Diceros bicornis minor: one gene and its partners. The protein of the gene in region 2 purifies or fractionates together with the protein of the main gene of each other region. This does not show direct contact. Links are inferred from orthologs where the notes say so. Each region holds a gene or a part of one and is shown on either strand. Other genes may lie near its edges.

Region 1 (8,005 bases), on a different chromosome or scaffold from region 2:
TAACAGAGAAAAATTGTATAAAAATCAAAGAAAAATTCATTCCTTTAGCTGTGATTTCCTTCTTATTAAAAATTGAACTTCAAATACACTCCAGTTCAAATGAAGTGAATGGATCTTATGGCTGGATGAGAAGAGAAGGGTTTCTGGATGAAAAATTCAAAACTTAAAAATCGCATAGGAGGAGGGCCGGCCCGTGGCTTGGCGGTTAAGTGCGCACGCTCTGCTGCTGGCAGCCCGGCTTCGGATCCCGGGCGCGCACCGACGCACCGCTTCTCTGGCCATGCTGAGGCCGCGTCCCACACACAGCAACCAGAAGGATGTGCAACTATGACATACAGCTATCTACTGGGGCTTTGGGGAAAAAATAAATAAATAAAATTACTAAAAAAAAAAAAAATCATACAGGAACTAGAAAAAAATCCTCATTTCTCAGACCCAATAATCTTGTGCCTTTAATAACTGTAACAGAGGGTGTCTGGATATTTGATTATATTAGAATGAGTATTCTAACTAATTTAAAAACTTTTAAAGATTATGCTCTGGCAACAGAGATTCATCCACTTACAAATAATATCCCCAGCTCCAAACATATCATATATAGAAAGAAACTAAGGCAGGGGAAGGCATGAAACTAATAACTGTCATTTTTGTTCACTGTTAATAAGTGGATTATCAAGTAGTGGGCCAATAAGTATATTAAAGACATAAATATTTGATTGATAATTATCCCTGCCAATTCCTCCAGCTTAAGGAGAATCCTCTTTCTTAGCCCTTCCACGAAGGGCTATTGCATTTTCTGGGTCTTCCAAGAAGGGCAATTACAGTCTGCTTCCTAGAGGGGTCTGATAAACCAATGTCTCCCTCAGGGTATGACTGAAAGGATAATGGGCTGTTATCTTTTGGCAGCTCTAAGAGATAAAAAATGCTTGGGAGTTGGTCTGAGGAGAAAACTGACCTCAGACTTTGGGTTACTGTCTTCAATGATGAGTAGACTACGGCACTCAGAGAAACTTAAGGTCTCCCAACTTTCTCACCTGAAGGGGTTTCAATAGTGTTTTCTATTAAACTTCATATAGAATAACAGAAACAAACTTCATGTCTTTTGCTTAATAATTCTTTTGACATTTCCGGTCCAGACATCCACTCCCAGGAGAGTTGACATCACCTGGAACTGCTTCTTTGAAATCTGAATCCAAACATTCCTGTTCTTCCAGGTCCCTTGCTCAGGCTAATCCTTTCATATTGTCCTTGTACTTAACAGGATCTGAGTCTCTTAACCCTTCTACTCTGCTTATCAGCCCTCTTTTCTCTTCACTTAGACTTCAACTAACTTAGTTGTTAACTACTTTCTTTCAAATACTCTCAAGTCAATTATCTCTATTTAGAGAAGAGAATTCAATGAGATAATGTAGGTAAAGCAGCGGCAGAGAGAAGTGCTCAGCAAATGGTAGCCAACACCGCTTCTATCACTACCAATAACATACATAACATTCTCTTGTTCCTTTGTCATTCTATCATACCAGCCTGTATGTCATACAATCCTCGGCTGCTAATTATTGAAGAAAATCACTAAATTGCCCACGGACGACAGTAAATTCATGCTTCCAGCCTTAACTGCCAAGCAATTTCTACTGTTTCTCTCATCAGTCTTCTGAAATTTGAGACTACTCTAAAACTTCTCCAATCTCCTTAAATCTCCTACCCATCTCTTCCTCCCTTCATTCTCATTCTCTTGCTTCACAGAAAAAAAAGAAACCGTCAGAAAGAACTTCTCCAACTTCCAGCCACTAAATCCTCCAACCTTTCTTCAATTGCACCTATCCTCCCCTGCTTCCCTCCTCTGACAATGGAAGCACAGTCTGGTTTACTGCTAAGGGCCAATGACTCCACATTCCCTCCCACTCACTGTCATCCTCACCCACATTATCTTTAATCTCTCTCTTCATTGGCTCCTTCTCATCAATATTTAAACATATTTAAATATATCCCACCTTCAAAAGTTCTTTTTATGCCAGCTACCTCATCTCTCTTGTGTTCCTCCCACTCAAACTTTTAAAAAAGGTTGTCCACATTAGCTGCCTCTATTTATTTACTTCCCATTCATCCTTTGTCATTGTAATCTGGTTTCCATTACCACACTCCACTGAAACTGTTCTTATCTGCTTTATCAATAACTCCAATAACTCCTTCTCAAGTTTCCTTTCATTTGACCTGTCAGCCACCTTTGGTACATTGATCACTTTCTCCATGTGAAACACTGTTTTTAGGAATGCTCCCTTTCCTAGAACTCCTCCTACCTTTCTGACTGCTTCTTGTGAGTATCCTTTGGGGTCTCGCTCCTCTTTCTCTGTCCATCCTTAAATATACAGTTCCTCAGAGTGTGGTCAAGGACCCTGTTCTTTTCATACTGTGAAATTAATTAAACAAGAAGGCCATTAGACTGAGATGGCTCTAATGCCTTGGCAGTCTACGTAAACAAACCAAAATCTAAGCCTATGAATGCCTCAAGATTACAAAATCTAAATGCTAAGAACAACAAATCACAAATACCAACTGGCTTTAAGCTATAGCCAATCAAATACAGTCATGTGCATGACACGACCTTAGAGTCAACGAGAGACTGCATATTTGACAGTGGTCCCATAAGACTATGCTGACCGACAAAAAATCACTACTGTTTAAACAGCAGATATTTATTTGAGCAATTAGAATTGCAATTAGGGAGGCACAGATTCAGGTAGAAACCCAAAACGTGTTCTGATTACAGGAGAGGGTCTTAAGGTTTTTATGGGAAAAAGGGAGGATGAGGTGAGCTGTTTTAAAGAAGAGTTCATTGGTGCTAGACGAGGTAAGGCTAAGTTTGTACTTCATTGATTCGCTTAAGATTTGGTCATCAGGCAAAAGGCTAAAACTTGTACTTCACTGATTGGTTAGCAATTCGGTCACCAGCAAAGTCCAGTTTTATCAGTCCTTACAAACAGTATATTCTTGTCCTTACTGATTTCTTGGATTGTCGGTGGTTTGGTCCAGTTTGGAAGATAAAGAAAATAAGACGTGCAAGGAAATTCCTCTGAAACAGCTACTCTGGATCTATTTTAATATGGCTCCACTCATGTCATCCTCCACAATTAGTACCATATAGCCTAGTGTGTAGTAGGCTATACCATTAGGTTTGTATACATACATTCTGCGATGTTCACACAATGATGAAATGACCTAACGACGCATTTCTCAGAATGTATCCCCGTCATTAAGCAACACGAGTATAATTTCCTTTCCTGGCTGCCACATCTCCTCTAGCATATGCCCTTCCCCTGGCTCCTGTTGGCACTCTTAACTGCATCTGGTTTGGCCCTGCCCAATTCCAATCGACTTCTGCTCAAACACTCTTAAAATTTTTAATATGCCTCAGTTTATCTTCTAGCAATACTCTATATATCTCATTCCCTCCAATCCACCAATACGCTAATCTATATCCCAGTTTAGATCACCCCCTTGATCCATACATCAAAATACTTACGCATCCATTACGCATTCTGTCTCCAAAGCTGTTTCTGCCATGTTCTCTCAGTGAAGGGCTTCACTACCTAACGGGCTTTCCAAACCAGAAATCTGACATCATCCCGTTTCTTCTCTCTCTCTCTCACTCTTTATATACAATCAACTTCCAAGCCTAGGCCATTGTACTTGCTGAAGTAGCTCTCAAATCATTTCAGCTGACATCCAGGCCATCATTATGTCATATTTCTTAAGGGGTCCTTTAGGTACCAATCTTGTCTGTTCTAATCCACTCTCCATACAAAGCCAGAGTGATTTTTCAAAAATGTAAATTGCATGGTGCCACTCCTATGCTCAACATCTTTCAATTTCTTGTTGCCTTTAGCATAAAGCTTTAAAAACTCCCTAGCATTTCCTTCTCAGTCTCAATTTTCCACTCCCCTTTTGCAAGCAATCTTCAGCCATTCTGAACTTCTCTGAATTCCTAGACGGCACGCTTGCAGCCTCTGAGCTGTTCCCTCAGCTGAAATACACCGTCTCTTCCCTTCTTTTTCTAACCAACCCTTAAGCTCAACTATCTGTATCACTTTCAGGAAACTTCCTGACCCCCCTCCAGTTTGAACTCCGCTTTAGGTGTTCCCAAGGCATCATGTACTTAACTAGCAATTAAGAGTATTGTCTTGTAATTACTTATTCCCTAGTCTACAGCTCCGCTTGACTTTAAGTCCCTGGAGGACAGAAACCAGGTGCTCTTAAACTTTCCATCTCAAGTACCTAAAAGTAGCGGCTGACACACAAAATAGTAGTTCAATTAATATTTGTTGAACGAATAACTATTCCTTTTTGGAAAGAGGGCGGTCAGGAGAATACCAGAAAGACGAGGGCTCAAAGCGGACAGAGTAAAAAAATCTATACGTAACGAATGGCATGGATACAGAGTACCTAGGTTATCCCACAAACTCGGCCTGCGGGGTCTAGGCCCACTGCCTCGCCCCAGGCCACGGCGACTACGGGCCCTGGAGAGCAGGCGCAGGGGTCACACGACCCCAGGTAAGGAAGGACAATCGCTTGGAATTCGGCCTCGTGCTTCCGGTGGGGCAGCATCGCGCCTGGCCGGTGAGGCCCGCGGGTTGGGGCTCCGAGCCTGCCCCACGGCGAGGAAGGCGCGGCCCCCGGAGCTCCCGTCGTCGCCGCCGCCTCCTCCGACGCCGTCGCCCCGCCCCGGAAGTGACTTGAGGCCCGTCCGGAACCTCGGGCCCGGCGGCTGCAGCGTCACCAGCGGAGCCGGTGCGGGGCGGGCGGAGCGGCCGCTGCCGCAGCCAACGAACCAGGCACCGCGCGGGGCCAGCAGCGCGCCGGCCAGGGGAGGGGATCCGGCGGTCGGGCCGAGGACGACGGGCCGCCGGCGGCCGCGGGGCGACGACGACGCGGAGGAGGCGGAGCCCGGAGAGGGGTGGGGGCCGGGGAGGGCTAGGGTGGGAGGGTGGGGGGGTGTCCCTGGGCTCATGGAGCCGGCCGAGCGGGCAGGCGGCCGGGATCCCCCGGAGCCGGGCGGGCGTCCCGGGCCGGAGCCGCGGGGCTTCGTCCCGCAGAAGGAGATCGTCTACAACAAGCTGCTGCCCTACGCCGAGCGGCTGGACGCCGAGTCCGACTTGCAGCTGGCCCAGATCAAATGCAACCTGGGCCGGGCCGTGCAGCTCCAAGAGCTGTGGCCCGGGGGCCTCTTCTGGACCAGGAAACTCTCCACGTAAGTGTGCCCGGGCCTCAGGATGGGCCCGGGGCAGAGGCTCACAGGAGGACGTCGGGGGTGGGGGACGGCTCTTTGTCCCACTGGACCGCAGGACCCTTACCTCTGCCCCGGCTCGAGCCGGTGGTCCCCGTGCAGTCGTCTCAGGGTCACGGCAGAAGCCTTGGAAGCACTTAGACCTCCTCCCTGCCACTTTCCTACGGAACCTCCCCGGTCCTCACCAGCCCTCAGTGTCCTCCCCTGCTTTTTCTCCCCAAGGATTCAGGTTGTTTTCCGACCTGCGGGGCCCCCAGGGAAAGAGATGAGCGGTCCCCCAAGGGGGCTCCTTGGACCTTTGCCCGTGGGGGAGGGGAGGCACAGAGGATTCGTCTTTGAGGGGAGCAACTCTTGACTTCTGGTGCTTCCTCCGGTTCTTTCCTCCCCTACGGTCCCCGCCTCTTCCTATCCCTCAATTGGCCTCTGGTAACTTTCTGAATGGGAAAGAGGCCGTCGGGAACTTCTAGGTTCTGCTTTTTTGGGGCCTGCTCAGTCTTTGTGGATTTGATTGAAAAGATTGATTTAAGATCCGACTTCAGCGCATTCTTGGACTGTTCACTAGACGTTAATGTTGAGAATGTTGAGTTTTAGAACCTCGGCAAAATGTATATTGCTCCTGTTGTGACATTTCGTTTGGAAACGTACAGCGTTAAGGAAAAGAGGAGAGCTGTCAGGTTGTCCTGGGTGTTATTTGTATCGGGCTTGTGTTAATTTTTGAGTCGCTCAGATAAATATAGATTACGTAAATCAGTTTCAAGGATTCTATTCTTTTTTTATTACTTTTTTTTTGTATAAACTAGCTGCAAACTGTAGTGCCACTGAAATTAGGGGGAAAGGGCGAGTAAAAATACAGCTGGGTGGGAGGGAAGATTTTAGAGACTTTTTGCTAGGTGGGAATCTTCATTGTGTCAGAAGAACTTTTTTAAAAAAAGATTTTGTTGTATCTTGTATGGTTAACTGTACATAAAATCTGGTAACATTGTATGTTCATGCATGTGGGTATGGGTGGGTGAACACGTAAGACATAAGTCACTTATCCAGTGTTTACCCAAATCTGCTGAGTGAACTGGGTGATGACTCAGGGTTTTGTAACGCAATAGTCTTCTCCACATTTCCTCACAGGATGATTCTTATCTGCCGTTTATGAAGGAGTCTCTGACAGGTTTCTCATCTCCATTTGGTGGTGGTGGTGGGAATAATAATTGCTTTTTAATTAATAAAGCAGAACTCAAACACGTAATTTGCCCTTTTCAAAGAGTGACCATAAAATGTCAAGGTTAATGGCCCTCTTGATTTGAATGTATAGAAGTTTGTGGTGTTGGGATCCATAGGAGACTTGGGAAGAAAAGAAATGCAACAGGGATAAGAACCACTTTTAGTCAAAACAGAAAAATGTTTTATAAATGATTAAAATTCAAATGATTTTTTAAGTGAGCCTCCTAGGTGTGTTTGTGTTACTCGGGCACAGTAAAAATAAAGTTACTTTGTCATTCCAGTAATTCCCCATTTTTATCACCTGGATTCGACTTGCTAGAGAATAACCATTTGCGGGGGGACATAAGCAGTTCCTTTTAGATGCACAGTGTATAAATGTACCAGTGTGTGAATGCATATCTAGATTGGATTTAGGAATCTAGAGTCTACACAGGTATAGGTAAGCATTGTTTTCTGACATATTTATTGTTACTTACTAAGTTTCGCGGAGTAGCACCTAGAGTTTTATTATTTTTGGTTTATTATGTATAAGTAGTTTTTACCTAGAAAGGGCTAAAAATACAGTGGCGACGGTCTGTGGTGTTTAGGGCAAGACTGCAGTTATGTGGCTTAATAATCTAGGAATCCCAAACCATTTATATCTAAATAACCAGCAAGAAATGCTGTGAGATAGAATTTTATTTTGGAACAGTGGTTAAATGCTGCAGACTGATTCTTGGGATTGCGCTATGAGACATTTTGAACTTGGTGGGACATGTTGTGATCTTGGATGTATTTTTTCTCCTAAGTCATGTTAAGGTGACCTGTTTATAGATGTGCTTGTTTTTTAAGCCTTGTGTGTGGTTGCACAAGTTTACATCTAAATGATGCCAAAACATGTGATGATAGCTTTCAGTTACCTGAGTAGTGATCATATTGAGTACTTTGTAGAAGAATGGAAAGTAGTAATGAAAATCTAATTGCTGCCACTAGCTCTGTGACTGTGGGAAAGTTACTTTAATCGTGTATTTCAGAATTCTTGTGGGTGAAACGATGGGGTTGGATTAAGTAATTCTTGAGAAACATTCCTGCTCTGATATTTTATGATTTTATTTTTTATCTTGTAGAGCCTCAAGCCAGTGTGTGTCTTTCTACAAGGATTGTTTGAGGACTTTGTAAAGTATTGGAAATTGTTGCATAAATCAAATACATTCCTAAAGAAGACCAGAGTGTAGATGCTATTTAGAGGCACTGGGACTGGATCCCCTAATCTGGGTGTCATGGGTCTGTGTATCGTCAAGTTCTAGTTTGGGAGGTACTCAGACGCCCCTTTTTTGAGTTTTACGTAATTTTAGTAGTTATTGTAATTCTGTTTCAATCCATTTCAAGACTTGCAGGTGTGTTTAGCATTTCTGTGAAGAAAGGTTAGTTCTTTGAATTTTAAAAATTGGCCTTGTGGTGTAATACAAGCTCTTTTGTACAGACAGTTTAAAGTATTAGGACTGCCTGTTCAAGAGAGATTGTGTGATG
Region 2 (7,840 bases):
TTTGAGTCTTTACATTTAAAGTGGGTATCTTGTATACAGCATATAGTTGGGTCTTGCTTTTTTATTTAATCTGACAATTTCTGGATTTCAATTGGAGTATCTGGATCATTTACATTTATGTGATAATTGGTATCATTGTATTTAAATCTACCATATGGCTATTTTTCTATTTGTCCTGTATAGTTTTTGGTGTTTTTTTTTTTTTTGGTGAGGAAGATTAGCCCTGAGCTAACATCTGTTGCCAATCCTCCTCTTTTTGCTAAGGAAGATTGGCCCTGGGCTAGCATCTGTGCCCATCTTCGTCTATCGTCTACTTTTGCATGTGGGACGCCTGCCACAGCATGGCTTGATAAGCAGTGCACATGTCCGCGCCTGGGAACCGAACCCCGGGCTGCTGAAGCAGAGCATGCAAACTTAACCACTAAGCCACTGGCCGGCCCCCTCCGTATGTTTTTTTCTTCCCTTTTTCTTCTTCTTTTTGTCTCCTTTTAGATTGAGTATTTTTTTTAAAGATTTTATTTATTTATTTGTTCCCCCCAAAGCCCCAGTAGATATTCGTACATCATAGTTGCACAGCCTTCTAGTTGCTGTAGGTGGGACGCGGCCTCAGCATGGCCGGAGATGCGGCGCGTCGGTGCGCGCCGGGGATCTGAACCCAGGCTGCCAGCAGCGGAGCCGCGCACTTAACCACTAAGCCACGGGGCCAGCCCTAGATTGAGTATTTTATTCCATTTTATGTCCTTTGTTGGCTTATTAACTATAACCGTGTGTTATTTTAGTGTTTGTTTGGGGTTTATTACTTAAATCTTTTACTTATCATTGTCTAATTTCGAGCAATATTATACTACCTTGCATATAATATAAGAACTTTTACAGCAGTATCTTCCAATTTCTCCCCTCGTGGCTTTGTGCTTTTGTTGCCCTACATTTTACTTCTAATATGCTATAAACCCCATGACACATTTTTATTATTTTTTCTTTAAACAGTCAATGATCTCTTAAAGACATTTGAATCATAAGAATCAAAGCCTTTTTTTTTGTCCACATAGTTACCATTTCCAGAGCTCTTCATTCCTTTGTGTAGATTGAAGATTTCATCTGGTACAATTTCCTTTCCACTTGAAGGAGATCCTTTAATATTTCTTGTAGTGTAGGTCTTCTAGTGATGAATTTTTTCAGCTTGTCTGTGACTGAAAATGTCTTTGATGTAGCCCATCCTAGTTCAACACAGGGGAAAGTCTAAGCAATTGCACTGTTATAAGCTCTGAGGCTGTGACTATTCCTTCTACCACCAGTGTTGGCGTCCTCATTGTCATCCAGCTGGTGAGTGATCCCACTCCAGAATCCCTTGGAGACTGCTTTCTGGGATCACTTTTGGTACCAAATATTTTACTTTTTTATTTATTTATTTTTTGCCTGTGAGGAAGATCAGCCCTGAGCTAACATCCGTGCCAATCTTCCGCTTTTTGCTGAGGAAGACTGGCCCTGGGCTAACATCTGTGCCCATCTTCCTCCACTTTATGTGGGATGCCACCCTAGCATGGCTTGACAAGCGGTGCATCTGTGCGCACCCGGGATCCGAACCTGGGCCACCAGCAGCAGAGCATGCACACTTAGCTGCTATGCCACGGGGCCGGCCCCTGGTACCAAATATTTTAGTTTGGTTTCCTAGAAGCAAACCAAAATGATTATTCAAGTCATTTATTGGGGGAGTACTCTCAGGAGAAAGGGAGTAACAGAAGTAAGATCCGGGCCGGCCTCCGTGGTGTAGCGGTTAAGTGTGCATGCTCCACTGCTGGTGGCCGGGGTTCGGATCCCGGGTGCGCACCGATGCACTGCTTGTCAGGCCATGCTGTGGCGGTGTCCCATATAAAGTGTGGAGGAATATAGGCACAGATGTTAGCCCAGGGCCAGTCTTCCTCAGCAAAAAGAGGAAGATTGGCATGGATGTTAGCTCAGGGCTGATCTTCCTCAGCAAAAAAAAAAAAGAAGATCAGGTAGGGGGAGAAAGCTAAGCAAGAATGTGGTCTTCGCTGGAGACTCGCTTTAGACTGATCCACGGGGAAACTTGGGAGGACAAGTTTTATCCCACTATAAATTAAGGAAATTGATCTTTTAGCCCTGTGTCAGTCAGTCATTGGCTGACTGTGCATAGCCTCCCAGGCAAGGATGCCTCCCAGATGGTTGAAAGAAATTGTCTGAATAAAGGGATAGTTGTCACTTGTTATCAACCAACATTTACAGCAGCTGGGGATAGCAGCTACCACAGTTAGGTAAAGGGGATATGGGCAGGGCATCAATAGTATCCAATGCATTAACATTTCTGAATATTTAGAGGTGGCCCACTGATATCCAGTCTACCATTATCTCGACCCTATTGTCTAAGCTCACAGGATTTTTTTGAGTGTGGGCTTGTGCTGATGCTTCCATGTCAAGCTTGGGCTTGGGAGTCTTGGAAAGGCTGGTAGCCTCCCATATTATGGCCATGTTTCCTAGGCACACTGCAGTCATTCTTCTTTAAGGTCCTACCAAACTCCCCATGAAGGAGCAGGGTATGGGTCCTTATACTCATGGAAACAACCAAACCTGCAACTCCTTTCCATCTCAAGAGAGATACAAAGCAAATTTCCCTTTTGAATGTCCCTTTTATAAATAAGGAAATTGAAGCTCAATGAATTTTGCACCAAGGTTGGAAAACGTAGGGCTGGGACCAGAGTTAAGTGTTGATTTACAGGCCTCCCACTACATCAGGGATCTGCAAACTATGGCCAAATGAGCCAAATCCACCTCCCCCCTCCCCTCCCCGGTCTTGTAAATAAAGTTTTATTGGAATATAGCCATGTTCACTCATTTAGTATTGGCTATGGCTGCTTTTGTACTGCAATGGCATTGTTGAGTAGTTGTGATGGATACCGTTTGGCCCGCAAAGCCAAAAATATTTACTATCTTGCCCTTTACAGAGCAAGTTGGCTATACCATGCTGTTTCTGGAACCTCCACAGACATTTTTTCTAATTCTAAGACTCAGTTATTCTAAGACTTTAGTTGGAGGAGGGAGTCCCTCTATTCTCAGTGAGATAGAACAGGTTAGGTCTTGAAAATCCACTTTCTTCTACACTAACAAGAAGTTAGAGCATCTCGAGTGTGACAGCTACAGGGGATTTCAAAAGAGTCCTGGGGAGGAAGAGGGAAGAGCCAGCTTGAAAGATCCTTGGGTCCTTTTGTGTGTGTCGGGGGGGGGGGTACGGTGGGGGGTGGTCCTTTTTGTGTGTGTGTGTGTGAGGAAGATTAGCCCTGAGCCAACATCTGATGCCAATCCTTCTCTTTTTTCTGGGGAAGATTGGCCCTGGGCTAACATGCATGCCCATCTTCCTCTACTTTATATGGGACGCCGCCACAGCATGGCTTGACAAGCGGTGCATCCATGGGGGCCCGGGATCTGAACCTGTGGACCCCGGGCCTCCAAAGGGGAGCGTGCGTACTTAACTGCTATGCCACCAGGCCAGCCCCTGGGACAGTCCTTTTTTTAAATTGGATTTCCCAATTCAGAATTCTGCAGCCTTTGTGAATGAATGAATGAATATTGGTATGTCCAAAGGAAAAAAGGTCTGGAAGAATACAGGCATCTGGTGGGTAGGTTACCTCTGGTGGGAGCAGGAGAGAGATTTAACTCTTCAGTTCTTCTGTATTATTTGTGTGTGTGTGTATAGTATAACTATGTATTTTTTGCACTTAAAAAACACACAAACACATACAATGCAAGAGAGGGAGAGAGAGGGAGAGTGGGAGGGAGAGAGAGAGACTTAAGGGACTTCTTCCCCAGTGGTGTTTAAGAAAAGGATCTTTCTAGGATGATGGATGCATCTGTGTTCATACTGGGATGGTTGACTTAATGACCTCACTTGCTCCTGGCATCCCTCCCAAGATAAATGAGCTGCCCCAAACTCCTCAGGCTCTATGTTCCTTTATGGACAGAGAGCTGGAAGAAACATTCAGAACAGAGTAAGGACTATGCATTTCTGCAAAAGCAAGTGAATTGAATAGTTGTGCTTGGAGATACAACTGCATCTGGTTTTCTGTTTCTGAGGAAGCTAGAATGGCTAGTATGAAGATTCAATCGTGGATGACAGAAACCAATCATGGAATATTTCAGTTTTTCCCAGAATGGATGCAGGATATAAAGGGATGGTTGTGCTTTTTCCTATTTAAAAAAATGTGTAATACATGAGCATTGCGAAACATTCAAACAATACAGATGCATATAAAATAAAAAGTGAGTCCTCCCTTCAAATCATTTTTACCAAAGGTAACAACTGCATATAATTTGAGGTCGGAACATCTGTAAATAGGTCTTTTATGATTTTAGTCTTTATGCTTAGATCTCTATTTTTGTGAAACATGTAAATAGGGCTCCTGTCTTTTTTTTTTTTTAAGTTTATTTTTAAAGTTTATTTTTCTCTTTCTAATCTGGCTTGCAGAGAAGGAGTTTATGGCGATATTTTACAGAGCAACGAAGGGAAACGGCCATCAAGGCATGCACGCCTTTTTGGCACCCGCGTGGGCTCGGCACTTCATATATAGTGCGTAATTTCATCCTCAAGCGAGTTTTAAGCTCTCAATTTATAAATAAAGAAACTGGGCGCTACATAACATCAGCCGCCTTTACACCCGGGATTGCAAAAAATCTAGGACAGGCCAACAGGCGAGCACAGAGTGTAATACACCCAACGCCACGCCCACTTTCCAACGTCTCGCGACGGTTTACGTCATCCGAGAGCGCCGGTGGCCCGGGCCGTCGCGCGGCCTGCATTGCGCGACGCCTCGCTCGGTGGTGCTGTCTCACTGGTGAGGCCGAGGAGCCGGCGAATCTCACGCTCTGTCGAAGCTGCAGCCGCCGGCTTCCTGCCACCATGGAGTACCTCATCGGCATCCAGGGCCCCGACTATGTCCTTGTCGCCTCCGACCGGGTGGCCGCTAGCAATATTGTCCAGATGAAGGACGGTGAGAGGAAGTAGGGGAGGCCCTGCCGGGCCTGGGTGTAGGGGCAGTCGGAGGGAGTTCGTGGGGTGTTGGGTGAGTACCAGGGAGGTGGAAGCCCGTCTGCCCTGATCAGCACTTGCTTGTTTTTTGGAACTAGGAGACAGGCAGACAAGCGTAGGGCTAGACATTCACTTCCCCCAGGGTTCCTGGGTCAGTGCTGTGCTCTGGCCTTCGCCAAATGCTTGCTGGGCGAGAGTTGCCTAAGGAATTCAGTTTTCAAGTGTTTAAGCGCCTGCCGGGCTCCAGGCTCCCTAGAGACTCGCAAATCGCTGATAAGTTTCCTGTGGTCGCTACTACTGAGATTAGTTTGCTGGCGGCATAAGGTGGGAGCCTGGGGAGAATGAGACTGTGGGACTAGAAACCTGGCATTTCCCTTGTGCTGCCTGTGTCTTCCCGAGTCTCAGCTCTGATTCTCCTTTTCCAGGGCACTGGTTGGCAAGTTTTCCTTATATTTAAGTAGTTAGTGGAGTTAGGGGACTGGAGCCCTGTCACTTACTTGCTTTGTGACTTTGTACAAGTTATTTCGCAGTTCCCAGATTTCCTCATCTGTTAAATCGGGTTAGTAATACCAGCCTCCCAAGCTTGTTGGGAGGTTTGAGAGAAAAAGTTTTGTGCAAATGCTTAGCACAGTGACAAATACTTAGTAGTAGAAATACCAACTACTTAAATAGAAGTACTTAGTAAGTACTAAGTAGTAGAAATACTAAGTACTAATACTAATAAATACTAAGTAGAAATACTAATACTAAATTCTAAGTGAATTTCTAAGTAATAGAAATACTAAGTACAGGTGCTATTTTAAGCGATTTACATTAATTCATTTAACCTTTTGAGATAGGCGCTATTACATTGCTACTTTACAGGTGATAGTTCTGAGGTGTAGAGGTTAAGGAACTTGCTTAAGGCGCCAAGTGGCAGAATCCAGGTTCTTTGAACCTATGCAATTTGACTACGTATCTTTTGCCCATAACGACTATACTGTACTGTCTCCCTATAGTCAGTTCTCAATAAATAATCTTTTTAAATTTCTTTTTGTGAGGAGGATTAGCCCTGAGCTAACATCCATTGCCAACCCTCCTCTTTTTGCTGAGGAAGACCGGCCCTGGGCTAACATCCGTGCCCATCTTCCTCTACTTTACATGGGATGCCGCCACAGCACGGCTCGACAAGCGGTGCGTTGGTCCGCGCCCAGGATCCAAACCTGCGAACCCCGAGCTGCCAAACCTGAGCACGTGAACTTAACTGCTCTGCCACTGGGCTGGCCCCAAATAATTTTAAAAAGATTTTGCTTGTTGATCTGCAGAATCTAAGATTGTGTTTTCATAATTGGTGGTAGACATGCTGCTGTTGAAAAAGTATTATGCTTTGGCTCAGATGATTTCGTGTTCACTTGACAAATAGGTTTTGGGCACTTCTGTGCTAGGTGCAGAAGGGATGCAAAGAAGAATAAGATGTGGCTCGTATCTTAAAAGAAGTTACAATTTAATAAGGGACTCGTGTACAAATACTTATAACACAAGCTGGAAAATGATGCTGCATGTGAAAAGTACAATGAAATTTATCAGATAATGCACAGGAAGCAGAGATTGTTTTTAGGCAATCCAGACGAAGAGATTCTTTCTAGTTGTAGAGATTAGGGGAAGTTTACAGGGCAGATAACAGTTCATTTTGGGTTTAAGGAAAAGAAAAATGATCAAATCTGGGATTTCCTGAAGTATGTGAACAAAGGCAAAAAAGTATCCACCACTGCCTGTGTAAGGGACAGGCGTCTGATGGTCAGGCTGTCATCACTTGGGAAGATGGGAAGAATTGAGGGACTTTGCTTGAGTTCTCTTCTTTCTGAAGAAGAAAGAGAGGGCCGGCCCTGTGGCTTAGCGGTTAAGTGCACGCGCTCCGCTGCTGGCGGCCCGGGTTCGGATCCGGGCGTGCACCGACGCACCCCTTCTCCGGCCATGCTGAGACTGCGTCCCACATACAGCAACTAGAAGGACGTGCAGCTATGACATACAACTATCTACTGGGGCTTTGGGGGAAAAAATAAATAAATAAATAAAATTATGAAGAAGAAAGAGAGACCTAAAAGTGGTTTGTTAAACATCTATGATGTGGATTGTTCTTCAAGTCAAATTACTTTATGAAATTCCATGATTAGTTTGTAGGAGTTCTATTTGTAAACCATGCTTTCCAAAGGAGTAAATTTGTTTTGAGAGTAAATCTGTCCATTATTTTGAATACTAAAGCCTTTGACATGGAAGTGATTTGAGCATGAAGTAGTATCTAGGTAGAGCAATAACCAAGTCAGTATCTCTACAGGTGTTCTGTGTCATCACAATAATGTATCTGAAATCACTTCGAAGAGTAGAATGTACTTCTAGCTGTTATAGAGGATGCAACGTATTAGATATAATCCATAGAAAGGTCTAAGACATTAAGAAAACAAATAAATACGACAAGATGGTTTTGTATGATAAAAGAAGTATCACTAGTAAGTACTAGGTTAGTTTTAGTTTTTATTTATTTTTATTTATTTATTTATTTTTGTGAGGAAGATCAGCCCTGAGCTAACATCCATGCCAATCCTCCTCTTTTTGCTGAGGAAGACTGGCCCTGAGCTAACATCCGTGCCCATCTTCCTCCACTTTATGTGGGACGCCACCACAGCATGGCCTGACAAGTGGTGCATCTGTGCGCGCCCAGGATCCGAACCCGGGCCCCCAGCAGTGGAGCACGCCGCTTAACCACTACGCCACGGGGCCGGCCCCCTAGGTTAGTTTTAAATTAATGATTTCAGGAGTAAATCC
Region 3 (7,291 bases), on a different chromosome or scaffold from region 2:
CTGTTTGATCGTTAACATGATCACTCAACCACCTCTTCTTTGAAGTGCATGCCATCTGCTTCACACTACCTTTTCTCTACTTTTGGAGGCATGAGAATTCAACTCAGCATGCTTTTACATCTCCCAATAACCAACCTCAGGTATTGCCTGGCAGTATTCATTCACCTGCTTCCCAGTCATGTTTCAGCACCAGCCAGTACTCTGGATGGGAGTTTCTTCTAAGTTCCCCAACATGCATTCAATAAATATTTGTGCCAGAGGGTGGGTATTCACAGGTACACAGATCACAGTCCCCACCCTCAGGGAGCGTGCAGTCCAGAGAAATAAGCAAGCTGTAAGACTAGAAGGCAGGTGCTACTGGAGCACAAAGGAGAGGAGTGTCATTGTACTCCTTTCTAATCACTTCCTCTGCCTTTCTGACCCCCTTGTACCATATGGTCACCTAGAATCTCTGCCCTACTTACTCTTCATGAGGTCTACTTTGTGAATCCCCTTCTCTACCCTGTGTTGCTGAGAACTGTTGCAGAAAATAGTGCAAGCGTGTTGATCGAGCCTATTACAAATTGATGTTACTCACACTCACTCATGTCCTTATGATTCTGAGCAGTTTTTTAATTCATCTTACTGATTTGCTAGTGCATTCTACATGTCGATTTTTCAACTTTCTGCTCTTCTAAAGTCACCACCAGCTCCACTCACCCCATCACTACTAACAGTGGTGATCAGATTTCAGTTCCCACATTTCTCCTCCACACTTTGGGACTTCTCTTTCTTCACCACGTTTTCCATCTTTTCTCCTGTTTCAGAAACGTACTCCTTCCATGGCTAGCCACTCTCTCTCTCTGCCCTTGATCTCCCCTCACACCTGCTCTGGACATCTAAGAGGTCATTACTTCAATCATGCCTTACCAATTCTTCTCTCTCCCTGGTATCTTCACCCTTGCACCTTCACTGACTCTTTCTAATATCTGCCTAACAAACTTTAGTCCCTCCAACCATACATATGAAACAAAAACAAAACCCAATTTCCATTCAAACCAAATTCCTGTTTCCCTTTTTTGAGACTGCAAACATTCTGAAAAGATTAATACAAAATTCGGATGCCTCCATTTTCTAACTACTGATTCTTCCATTGCTAGCAATTTGGTTTCTGCTCCCACCATTTTACTTAAATTGCTCACCAGATCATATAAATGACACCCATTTGCCAAACTCCATTGATTTTCTTATAATCACAATACTTGACATCATTGGTCGTTCCTTTATCTTGGCAGATCTTCTTTGGCTCCTGAGACATTCCTTAAGTGAGACACTTTCCTACCTTTCTTCTCCATGCCTCTTCTAGCTTCTCCCAAGTTCTAAAAAGAGACATTCACTACATATTAGATGTAAAGACCTTTCTTAAGGCCTGCACGTTTCTTAGTGCTTGTTTAAAGTATGCAAGGCACTGTGCTGCACACATAAACCAGACTTTAAGAGGGGTCCAACCCAGCAGGCTGGTGGTTGGGTTTGGGTGCCCAGAGCTTGAACTCAAAGAGCAAAAGAGCCAAAGAGTAAGTGTAATTCTAGGTCTTTAGGGAGCACCACAGTTTAAGTCAGGAGAACTAAATTTAGTTGACAAGATGAAGTACAGGAATGGGATGCAAACAGGAGACAGCCAAAGGTAACAAATGAGGAAAGAGCTAGAACACAAGAGGAGGATTCTTGCCAGATGTTGTCAATGATGCTGAAGTTGTCTTCATTGGTCTACATAAGTCATCAGACTGGCTTAAGAGTAAACTCAAGGAAGACAATGAAAAGTAAAGTAAAATAAGGTATTTGTTCTCATATAATGCATACAATAAGCATGTTTCTTATGTCAAATGTGGATAACAGTAGTACCTACTTCATACAGTAACTGAAGATTAACTAAAACTTTATATAAAGAACTGAGAACAGGGCCTGACACATAGCAGATGTTAGCTATTCTTCTTAATATTCTATCTTCCAAACAATATAACACAGATAAAACTTAAGCAAACATATTAAACCATTCTAGTATCAAATCTAATTTAATTCTTTAAACTATTTTAGCATACTCAACACTGCTTTGTACTAGTTAATACTGTCACAAAACCTCTTTAAAAGGATATAAATATTCATGTGTGTACTGCTCAAAATAAGGCAATTTTTCTCCTTGGTGGTGCATTGGTCACCAAAGGCCCATTTTCAGGACTTCATTATCTTTTTTTAGCTACTTTAAAACTACTTTCTAACCTCTCCTTTAAGCTATTTCTCAACCTCTCAACACTTTCTTGCCCTTTAGATTCTAAGATAGCACTTCAGTTTGGTTTTTCTCTGCCTCTCTGACCATTTCTTTTTTGCCTCCGTGGAAGGCTCCCCTTCCCCTGGCCGCCTCTTGAATTCGAGTATTTTTCAGGTTCATGCCTACTATTTACTGCTTCTCAAAGTCCTTCCAATATGCTGCAGTACCTTAATTTATACCTTTATCATCTCTGCCTTGGACTACTGCAACACTCGAAATGGTATCCTGGTTCCAGTTTCTCCCAATTCCAGTGTATCCCTCATGCTGCCGCCAGAATGATTTTTTTTTTTAATGTCAACTGTCTGTGAAAAGACCTCCATTATCTCCTGTTTCCTACAAGAAAAAGTCCCAAACTTTAGCACACGATACAACGGCCCTTCATTCTGGCCCCAACCCACCCCTCCAATCTCATCTCATCTTGTTCCACCTACTCAGCCAGAACTCCAACCACATGGAAATGTTCTTCCTTGTTCAGATTACAACATGCCCTTTTGCAAATCCCTGCCTTTCCACGTTTCCTCTTCTTGAAATGCCATTTTTCCCTGTTCCCAACCACTTCCTGACCCAGCTCCTTTCTCGATTAAGCATCTACAACACTGGACTTTAAATATCTGTTTATATGTCTATTCCTCCAGGAAAATAAAAGCATCTCAAGTATAGGAAAACAGCTTTTTCTTCTCTTTAGCTCCAGAATCTAGTACCAAGCAAATGCTCAACAAATATTTAATGACTGAATTGTGAGCAATCAACACACATTAAAACAATTTTTTAAAAAAAGAGTAGCAGTTCTAAAATTTTTCCTTAGCTGGAATTCAGTGAAAGGAAAAAGATGCAAATGAAATACTCAAGCTCAAATCTCAAGGTAAATATGGATCTTCTGAAGAGCCAGAAGACATATCAAGACAGCAGTGCACAATACTTGACTGAAGCAGGGCAGAACTTCAAGGTTGTAACAGCAAGGCAGTGGATATGCATAACATATATGATCTTATCACCTCCCTACTTAAAATCCTTCAATGGTTTTTTAAAGATAAAGCCTCATCTTTAGTGTGGTGCACAAGGGCCTCTATAATAAACTTGCCTCCATCTACTTACAGCCTCATCTCACATTACCCTGAACTTAGGCCACACAGGCCTTCTTTCTCACCTGAGATTTTGCACAAGCAAAACTACCAGTAATGTTCTTTCATATACTCACCTACCTCAAACTAGTTCACTCTCATCCCTTGGCTATCAGCCCAAGGATTCCTTAAGTTATCTCCATTATATAGTGACAGAGCATAAGGTCATTTTATCACATTATATTTGGAAAGCAATACTGTAGCGCTATGATTAGGGGTCCTTGGGCCTTATCTATTTAACCTCTTTTATATTTTGGTTTCCTTGTCTGTAAAATTGGGGTAATAGTATCTACTTCATAAGATAACTGAAAGGATTAAAAAAGATAATTCGTGTAAAGCATTTAGAATTGTTTTGCTGTCTAGTAAGAGCCCACTACATATCAGTAATTATCATATTTACTTAGTTGTCCCACACCCACTTCCCCGGCTCCTCTAGCCCAGGAACCACCCCAGCCCGATTCCTTTCTGAATTCTTAGCCTCATCACAGGGTCCTAAACATAGCAGTCCTTCCACGAATGATTTAAAAAATAAACTGGCAAAAGCCTTGTGTTCCTCGTTTGCCTTACTAGCTGAATGACCGCAGGCAAATCACTCATCTCACCTAAGCCTCGTTTCCCGTTATGAAAAATGCAGTATCTACCTCAAGGAGGTTTTGTATTATATAAGGCGATGCATCTCCAGAGCACGTTGCACATCTTCCACTGTTGTACGAACGGGAGATGTTTATTATTAAGAGAGCGGAGGTGCGCGTCTTCCCTCTCCTCCGGCACATCTCGTCCCCACCCCGCCCTCCTCCCAGCCCACACCCTTACTGCGCCCTTGGCCCCCGGTCCCTCGGGACTTCAGGCGTGGGAGCCCCGGCCCCGCGCTGCTCCCTCACGTCGACCCGCGCCCTACTTCCTTCCTCGCCCGGACGGACGCACTTCCGGCGGATGTGGGGGGGCAGCCCCGGAAACGGAAGTGAGCGGCGGGGCCGGCTGACGGTAACCGGGCTGAGAGGCTGCGCGCAGAGCGTGTTGAAGATGGTGAGTGAGACCCCGGGCGACCCGAGTTCCCGGCGGGCTCGGGACTGTGGCCCTGCAGGAACAGGCCGCCGCCTCCCAGCCCGTCCCCGGCGGCGGCGGCGGCAGCGGCAGGGCGATGAGGCTGGCCTCGCGCGCCATGTTCTGCCGAGTCACGGGGTTGGGGAGTTCGTGGCTGTCGCCCGGGCCGGGCTCCGGCGCAGGGCCCGCGAACGGCGCTTCGTTTTCATGGTCTTCTACCACCCCCTTTTCTCTCGGTTTGCGCCCTGCGGTCCCCAAGTTCCCCGGTAGGTCCCGGTCCCTTCCCCGGCGTTGGCGCGGATCTGCAAAGGACAAAACCGAAAGTGTCGCGTTCTGTGTGGTGCGCCGCCGGCTGCCCTTCCCTGCGGGGAGAACCTCGGGGAGTTCCGAGCTCTCAAAACGCTCACCCACCCCTGGCCCTCGGAACCGCCCTGACAACCAGCCCCCAACCAGGAGTCTCATTTTTATAACTCGACAAGCATTTTCGGGAGCTTGTAGTATGCCAGATGTTGGAGGAGGAAAAAAAAATCAGACAGTTGCTACTCCCCGTTTGTCAGTATTGTTAGTGCATCTCCTCCTCTGTCCTCCCTCTCTCTCTTTCTTTCTTTATAACTTAAAAGTGGTATTTGGGAAGGATTCCTGAGTCGCGTTGGCCCTGACTCTGGTACCAGTACTGCTGCTAGCCCATCCAAATCTAGAAAGCTTCTATTGGTAAATACTGCTGATCATTGTAAAGAGATTTTGTAAACACTCCCAAGTGTGACTACTGATAATTAACTTTTCATAGATTGGTTTTCCTCAGCTACTTGATTAGAAACATAAATACTAATTCTGATATTTTACAGAAGGAAATTGGGAAAATGATAACGGTAGAACACAGAGATCAGAATTCCCATTTTCTTTGTGTGTAGAAGAAACTTTTCTTTTGTCATTTTACAATAAAGCAACCTGGGAGGAGGAGAATGTTCACACAGGAAAGTAACAGGGCATATGTTTGGAAAGGTACAGTCGTACAGCTCTAGTCCTGGAAAAAGTTCAGGTACCTGGTACAGATGAGTAAACAGGGTCAGAGAGGTTGTCTGCCTTGATTACAGTCACATAGTAGGTTAGTGACAGTCCACACTAGATTCCAGATCTTTTCCTGATTGACTGTGACTTCTGTGTAGGAGAATTGAAACCTCTTCTGCAGGTTCTTGAGTTCCAGGCTAAGGATCTTGGACTTTGTTCTTCAGACAAGACATGGATGAATCAGACAAGACATGGATGAATCAGTGAAAGGTGTTTTAACAGCTTTGGTAGGAGAGGTTGTGTGTTTTAGGAAAACCTTGATATGCAGAACTGGAAAATGGAAGAGTGTAGAGGCAGCAAGACCCAGTAGAGTGCGCTTGAGGTTATCCAGGTTGGAGCCTGGACTGCAATGGTAGATTGAAGAAACCCTGCACAGGATATCAAGTACCTGACCAGATAAAGTATACAGATGAATTAAGAAATTAGTAAAAAAGTTGGTTTCTCAGAATAGTTTCTCCTAGAATAGTGTAAGACTGAATACCAAACTACCTTTAGCAGTTTTCAGTTTTTCTGCAGAATTGCAGGGATACTTTACATGAGCAGTGAGTGATTTAAAGGCAGTATCTTGTGTTTTACCTGTTGTAACATTTATTACATTTTATTTGTTTGTTTAATCTGTCTTCATTAGACTAAGCCCTGGAACCCAGGGTAAACATGTATCTTTAGCATCTAGCAGAGTACCTGCTACATAATAGATGCTTAATAAATATTTGGTGAGTGTTTTATAGTATTACATAGGGTGATGATACATCACTACCAAATGCACTGTGAGTCTTTGTTTTTGTTTTTCATTATTCTGATTAGATACATTTATTTTTCATAGGTAGTACTGTTCTGTAATAGAAACCAAATACTTTCTGAAACTCCTTTTTTTATTAGCTTCTGTGACCACTCTTCTAGCAATTCTGTCCCTTTTTTTTTCTTTTTTTGTGAGGAAGATCGGCCTTGAGCTAACATCTGCCAATCCTCCTCTTTTTGCTGAGGAAGACTGGCCCTGGGCTAACATCCGTGCCCATCTTCCTCCACTTTATATGGGACGCCGCCACAGCATGGCTTGCCAAGCAGTGTGTTGGTGCACGCCCGGGATCCGAACCGGCAAACCCTGGGCCGCCACAGTGGAGCGTGCACACTTAACCGCTTGCACCACCGGGCTGGCCCCAATTCTGTCCGTTCTTGATCCCATTTCCTTGTCCTTAAGGAATGGTATTCCTCAGGATTCTGTCCTCGACTTCTTGCGTTCTGTGCTAATCATTCCAACCTAAGGGAGGGATCTCTCCAATGAAAGTAAATCTGATCATGCCCTAACCTTTCAGAGACTCTCTATCAGTTTCAGAATAAAACTCAAATTTCTTTGCGTGTTTAAGGCTTTTCATTTTGCCAGCCTTTACTTCTGCCTCGCTTATACAACTTTTTAGCTAGTCACCTCACACTACTTGTGGTTTGTACATTCATATTTTTATAGCTTTACCCATGTTCTTTTTTTCCTGGAATGTCTTTCAATCTGACATCATTCAAAGATCAACTCAGGAATCCTTCTTATCCTCAAATTCAGTATTATTCACTGTACCATGTATGTCTCTCTACCATAATGCTTAAGGCTCATCTTAATTGTCTAGATTGTGGGCTCTTTGAGGGCGGAGACCTTATCTTTTCTCTCTAGTGCCTAAGCAGTGTTTTTAACCTAGGTGTTCAGTGTGGAATTTTAAAAATTTTTTGTATTTAATAGTTTTTTATTTGTGTTTTAGAATGCCAG

Evidence for each region. The genes of interacting proteins can lie anywhere in the genome.
Region 1: the proteins of PSMB2 (region 2) and PSME4 purify together in Homo sapiens (affinity purification with mass spectrometry; 3 studies listed by BioGRID and IntAct, counting the BioPlex papers as one, with this or other methods). This does not show direct contact. The link is inferred for Diceros bicornis minor from reciprocal best matches to the Homo sapiens genes PSMB2 and PSME4.
Region 3: the proteins of PSMB2 (region 2) and POMP purify together in Homo sapiens (affinity purification with mass spectrometry; 5 studies listed by BioGRID and IntAct, counting the BioPlex papers as one, with this or other methods). This does not show direct contact. The link is inferred for Diceros bicornis minor from reciprocal best matches to the Homo sapiens genes PSMB2 and POMP.

The regions. Positions count from the first base shown.
Region 1 is NC_080751.1:32,399,863-32,407,867, forward strand, and holds the start of PSME4 (proteasome activator complex subunit 4), read left to right. Parts: upstream 1-5,001; 5' UTR 5,002-5,003; coding exon 5,004-5,245; intron 5,246-8,003; exon of another isoform or gene 8,004-8,005. UniProt on the Homo sapiens protein: Associated component of the proteasome that specifically recognizes acetylated histones and promotes ATP- and ubiquitin-independent degradation of core histones during spermatogenesis and DNA damage response.
Region 2 is NC_080752.1:49,937,716-49,945,555, reverse strand, and holds the start of PSMB2 (proteasome subunit beta type-2), read left to right. Parts: upstream 1-4,822; 5' UTR 4,823-4,909; coding exon 4,910-5,000; intron 5,001-7,840. UniProt on the Homo sapiens protein: Non-catalytic component of the 20S core proteasome complex involved in the proteolytic degradation of most intracellular proteins. This complex plays numerous essential roles within the cell by associating with different regulatory particles.
Region 3 is NC_080748.1:11,860,859-11,868,149, forward strand, and holds the start of POMP (proteasome maturation protein), read left to right. Parts: upstream 1-4,287; 5' UTR 4,288-4,359; coding exon 4,360-4,452; intron 4,453-7,283; coding exon 7,284-7,291. UniProt on the Homo sapiens protein: Molecular chaperone essential for the assembly of standard proteasomes and immunoproteasomes. Degraded after completion of proteasome maturation. Mediates the association of 20S preproteasome with the endoplasmic reticulum.